2 separate regions of the Mus musculus genome follow, and region 1 is reported to be linked to region 2. Evidence: microRNA targets listed by miRTarBase, many of them from high-throughput screens and not tested one by one. Region 2 holds a microRNA gene; the other region holds the end of a gene's coding sequence.
Evidence for each region. The annotated mature microRNA mmu-miR-486a-5p reads UCCUGUACUGAGCUGCCCCGAG and lies in region 2 at 1,118-1,139, shown strand. An mRNA with a match to its seed (bases 2 to 7 or 8) in the 3' UTR can be bound and repressed. Matches are read on the target gene's strand: a 7mer-m8 pairs with bases 2 to 8, a 7mer-A1 pairs with bases 2 to 7 and ends in A, and an 8mer does both.

Region 1 (3,072 bases), not on the chromosome of region 2:
AAATAAGCACAGGCACTTACATGACTGTCTCCTAGAAGCTGTCTGCAGTTAGCTGTTAGCTGATGGTTGTTCAGCAGAGTCATAAAAAGAAAAAAAATTGTAGAGTGACTAGAGGATATTCTATTGATCTGTTCAGCTGACAACAGTTCTATTGATCTATTGTCTTTGGCAAACACTGAGTCATGTGTGTTTCTAAGTATGAAGGAGTTTCATCCTTAATTCTACACAATTCCACATGTTGGAAGATTTAGTATTCCATACCTAGAACCTATTCCTTCTTTTGCTCCAGAAGCAGAACAATTTTTCCTTCCCCTTGTTTCAAAGCTTCCTGTCTTAGTTAGGGTTTTACTGGTGTGAACAAACACCATGTCCAATGCAAGTCTTACAAGGACAACATTTAATTGGGGCTGGCTTACAGGTTCAGAGGTTCAGTCCATTATCATCAAGATGAGAGCTTGGCAGCATCCAGGCAGGCATGGTGCAGGAGGAGTTGAGAGTTATACATCTTCATCTGAAGGTTGCTAGCAGAATACTGGCTTCTAGGCATCTAGGATGAGGGTCTTAAAAATACCTACTCCAAGGAGGCCACACCTAATTCAAGAAGGCCACACCTTCTAATAGTGCCACTCCCTGGGCTGTGCATATACAAACCATAACAGGTCTCTTTGCCATGAAGAGTAAGAGTTGCTTCTCTTCCCCTAGAGTGTAAGAGTAACTTTTATTCACAAGAGGTAATAGTCATCTTGGAGACTTACTGCCTCTGTCTACTAACCTAGGTCTAGTCCTGGAAGCTTCTAGCTTCCAAACTCAAAATTCCTCTCCAGCCTGATTCAATATGGCTTCCCTTAGCTTCTTAATTTCTCTGATGGCTTCAAACTAACTTTGGCAATGTGTTCTAACCTTCTAGCTCTTTCTCATCCTCTGGCTCATTCTTTCTTCAATTGTGCCTAGCTTTTTCTTGTAAACAACACAATCTGGAGGTTCACTGTGTAATTAAATATCCTGCAACACTAGAGAAATTTTATCATATATGAGGACCTCAAGGGAGACCTTCATGCCTTTCCCTCAGCGGCTCATCTTTCCCAGGCATGTGCCCAGACTTTCTCATGCCCACCCAGGAAAGTACCTGAAAATGAGCATAAGCTCTCCTTATGGTGGAGGTTCTCAGAAGATCTCCATTCTCATGCCACTAAACTCAATCTTGGTTAATTTGCTAACATTTTAACTTAATTATAATTTGTGAGTTGTCTAGTATGCACTACCTGCCCCAGGTAGAAATATTTCCTTCTCCTCACTCTCTGAAGATGTTTGTCTTTCCTTAGGTTTTTCTCATGTGCTTGTACTACAACCTCAGCTCTCTGGGTGGAATCTAAAAAAAAATGTGATTTTTGCAATTACCTAACATTATTTATTGGAAGAACAGTCTATTCTGGGAAAAAGCACAGCAATTAATCATTCAATAGCAAATGGTCATCCCTGAAAATATACATACAAGCAACATTGTACAGATTGAGCAGGTTGTATTTATATATATATGTAGATATGCATATATGCTTATAGCAACAATTCATGAAAAAGAAGGCCATGTATTTGAAAGAAAGCAAGGAATGGTACATGGGAGGATTTAGGGGGAAGAAAGGAAAGAGGGAAATAGTATCATTGTATTATGATATCAAAAATGGAATAAGTAATAAAAATAGAACAGTCACAAACTTTTTTCTAACTTTCTGAATCATGAGTAAAATCATATTTATTTATTTATCAACAATCTTTCTTTTTAAAAACATAATTCTTTTATTGAGTGCTAGGGAATTTCACATCACATACCCCAATATCACTGATTTCTTAGTACTATCATACCCACCCTCCTCCACCTGTAACCTCCTCCCCAAAAGGAAATTTAAAATTTTTAAATTAAAAAATTATATATCACCAATCTTCTCTATCACCCACAGGCGTCTCTCCGACAAGGCCCTGCTGTCACATCTGCAATCCCGCCATACTTATACCCTCAGTGTCTATGTAGAGAAGAATGATATCTCAAACCTTAGACAAAGCAACAATTTTATTAGATATTTTCTTCATTTACATTTCAAATGCTATCCCGAAAGTCCCCTATAACACCCCCCACACACACTCCCCAACCCACCCACATCCACTCCTGCTGCCTGGCCCTGGCATTCCCCTGTACTGGGGCATATGATCTTTGCAAGACCAAGGGCCTCTCCTCCCATTGATGACCGGCCAGGCCATCTTCTGCTACATATGCAACTGGAGACACAGTTCTGGGGGGTACTGGTTAGTTCATGTTGTTGTTCCTCCTATAGCGTTGCAGACCACTTGCTGCTTGGGTACTTTCTCTAGCTCCTTTATTAGGGGCCCTGTGTTCCATCCAATAGATGACTGTGAGCATCTGCTTCTGTACTTGTCAGTCACTGGCAGAGCCTCACAAGAGAGAGCTATATCAGGATCCTGTCAGCAAAATCTTGCTGGCATATGCAATAGTGTCTGGGTTTGGTGGTTGTATATAGGATGGATCCCCAGGTTGGGCAGTCTTAATAACTTAATTAATAATAAGTTTACATATATTTTTCAGATGTTTTTTGAGTATTTGTCCTTTTCTAAGTAATACAATATGATGATGAGGTTGTAAAATGCTATCCTCAGGTAGTTCAGTCTAGTTCAAGGAGCAGCATCAGGATTCTTCAGGAAAAGGTTTTTCAAATGAGGTGACTTCACTCCACACTTTTCATGTCAGTTTTTGGCTTTGCAGCCTTAATAACCTGGGTAGGAAAGGAAGATGAAGACTGAAATATTGTTGATTAATTAATTCTCCTCTACTTTCACTTACTGTGTTCTCCTGAAAATTCCTTTCTTCTCATCAAATCTCCTCACCTAACACATATTTCCTCTTAATTCTGTCACTCTTGGACAACTCTCCTGAACTATATCTGCCCTGAACACACACACACTCCTACACAAGAAGGACAAATATGAAGACTTCTCAGGTCCCCATCTAATAACTCTATATATACAGTTGAGTGGTGAGGAAGAGAGGAAAGCAGAATCAGT
Region 2 (3,000 bases):
CCTCCTCCTCCTCCTCCTCCTCCTCCTCCTCCTACTCCTCTCTGTCCTGACCCTTCTCACTTCCTGCCCGAGCTTGCTCATCTGCCTGTGTGATTTCCTACTTTCTGTCTCTGATGCTGTCTCCAGGTGGAGCTAAGAGGGAGTGGACTCCAGCCGGACCTGATAGAGGGCAGGAAGGGGGCTCAGATAGTGAAGCGGGCCAGCCTGAAAAGGGGCAAGCAGTGACCTCTCCTCAAGTAGCCCCTTGGGAGGTAACAGTGGCTTTCTCGTCCTTGCTGGCATGGTCCTTGATGAGGTAGCTGCTTGCTGCTCCCAACCCACCCCATCCTTGCACTACTAGCTCAGTTCAGAGTTAAAACCAGACTCTCAGAATCCCACTCCTCAAACTAGCCACTGTCTCTGCCCCTCCACGTCCTCTTCAGACCTGTGCCTCTCTGTTGACACCAGTCTGCTGGAGAGTACACAAAATCAGGGGCTTGGGTTTATTTTGCTTATTTATATTTTCTTTTGTCTTTTTTGGCTGTGTTAGGGGGGTGGGACCAGAGATAGGCATTCTGAGCCACACCTTCAGTCCCTGTGCAATTTAGTTATAAACAGAGTCTCTCTATATAGCCCTGGCTGTCCTGGAACTTGCTAAATAGACCAGGCTGGCCTTGAACCCACAGAGATCCAGCTGCCTCTGTACTGGAATTAAAGGCATGCAGCACCATGCCTGACTGTACCAGTATAATGTTAAAATAGTGCTTTGAAGTAGTGCTCAAAACACAGTCTGAGCCTATCTCACTACACATGGTCAGAAAGCACGCCAGACATAAACCTTAAGGCTCACTGGAGTCCTAACCTGCCATAGCTTTAATTCGATTACTGTTCTGAGAACAAGGCTGCTCGCTTGATGTCTGAGAAGGAACTAAGTTAGCAGACCCAAGGCATAGGTAGAATCTTCCCTGGAAGTGAGGAAGGTCTTCATGGCTAACGGCTGTACTAGTGTGTGAGGGGTGTGCGTCAGGGCGGGGGCCAAGGATGGGTGGGCCAGGCTACGCAACGAAGATCTTCAGCAGGCTGCAGTGCCCAAGAGCCAGCCTCAGCAGCCAGCTCTGATCTCGCCCTCCCTGAGGGGTCCTGTACTGAGCTGCCCCGAGGTCCTTCACTGTGCTCAGCTCGGGGCAGCTCAGTACAGGATGCGTCAGGGTGGGAGACAACGGGGAACAAGCCAGCATCACAGCCTCTGCCCATGCACAGCACTAACTGGGTTATTGCCCCTTCCCCCACCCACCCCCACCCCTGAACTCTCAGGGCCCAGCTCCAGAGCCGAGCAGCAGGCAGTCACTGGTTTTCTGCCTTCTGCAAAAAGCAGGGCCCGCGCAGCCTCCTGGGCCGGCAGAAGTGCTGACTTGATGCTTCCCAACATATCTCAGCACTTGGACAATATGAGGCTGGGCAGAGCCCGATAGGAGAGTAAAATTAGCCCTGACTCCTCAGCAGCTGTAAGGAGGTCACAGTGTTAACCCCAGCACTGCCAGGAGGGTCCTGCATGTCTGCTGATTTAAAGGCCAAGACTCGCTCTTGATCCCGGCTGGGAAACAACCCAAAGGTTCGAGTCATTTTTAAAGGAGGGAGGGAGGGAGAATGTCTTCTTCAGCCCTATCTTTCTTACAGTGGCAGCCGGACTTGCACTTGTGTTTGTTGGCTGAGACTTTATCCAGGGCCTCAATGGGAGGCAGCAACGGCAAGGCAGCTGAAGGACAGGGCAGAAGTAGAGTGTTTCATTAATTTACTGTACCCGGCATGCCCCTGCCCCAACACCCCCCCACACACACACACACTACACACATACACACACACACACACACAACACACTACATATACACACACTACACACACACAACACAACACACACACATACACATACTAAATACACAACACAACACACATACACACACACAGGCACAACACACTTACACACACACACACACACACACACCACACACACACTACATATACACACACTACACACACACAACACAACACACATACTAAATACATAACACAACACACATACACACACACATACACACACAGGCACAACACACTTACATACACACACACATACACTCTCTCACATACACACTACAGAGAGAGAGAAAGGGAGAAAGGGAAGGAGGGGGATATTTGCCACCAGACCTCATGAGTTTAGGAGTCAGGAATTCTGAGCAGCCTGGTTTGGACAGTACTTAGCCTCTGCCAACAAAAGACAGAGGGTGGGTGACTGGGGTAGTGACTGGGCAGAAGAGCGTGCAGTGGCAGGCTCCTGCCCAGGTCTGACCAGGTTGTGGAGCAGCAAGAGTGGCCCATCCTCAGTAAGAAGTTACCAAAGGGCTTCAGGCTCCGTCCCCACCACCACTGCCCCCAACCCCCGCCCCACAGGCAGTCCAGCCGATCCTTGTCATTCCTCTTCCGATTTGCCTACGCCCTAAACCTTTCTTGAAATCCAAAAATGAGCACCCAGTCCTTCCGTGCTCAGTCATTCCCAGACACACAGACAAAGGTGACCACAAAGTGATGGGCATGTGCCGTCCCCAGCTCCACCTTTTCCTGGGTCTCATGCTGCCCTTTATTTTTAATCTATTTAACGACACAGTGCATTTCCAAGTTCTTCATCGTTTGTTTCACTGTTTGTGTGGACGTTCTGTCTGTCCGGGGAAGATGAGTTCTAAGTCTTCCTGAGGCACTGTGTTGATGGCAATGGGGTGAGCACGAGTGAATGGCCTGCATACATGCGATGTGCCACCCTCAAAAAGAAATACACACGCAGCATGCTGATGGAGTCGCTGGCTGAGGAAAGCATGACCTTGCATGTCCCTTGGGAGCGGTGATTCAGTATTCGCTAATCCCACGCTCATACTTTATAGACCAGGACTACTGTGAATAATGAAAAGCATCTTATATGTTCCAAGTGTAAAAACTAGCCTTGGAGTCCAGATTCAAGACTTGGCTCCCCCA

Region 1: the mRNA of Aim2 is a reported target of mmu-miR-486a-5p. Seed matches in the 3' UTR shown: 7mer-m8 at 2,185-2,191.

Annotation. Positions count from the first base shown.
Region 1 is chr1:173,464,682-173,467,753 of GRCm38, reverse strand. It overlaps Aim2 (absent in melanoma 2), which reads right to left. Exons shown (of 9, transcript NM_001013779.2): 9 at 1,714-2,783. The coding sequence ends at 2,736. Among named protein-coding and RNA genes, the nearest start is that of Ifi206, 25 kb to the left of the region's middle.
Region 2 is chr8:23,141,470-23,144,469 of GRCm38, forward strand. It overlaps Mir486 (microRNA 486), which reads left to right and starts at 1,086; the gene lies at 1,086-1,213. Ank1 (ankyrin 1, erythroid) reads left to right here. Exons shown (of 44, transcript NM_001110783.3): 43 at 127-251. The coding sequence ends at 225. Gm15816 (predicted gene 15816) reads right to left here. Exons shown (of 6, transcript NR_169137.1): 3 at 1,655-1,735. It overlaps Mir3107 (microRNA 3107), which reads right to left and starts at 1,193; the gene lies at 1,104-1,193.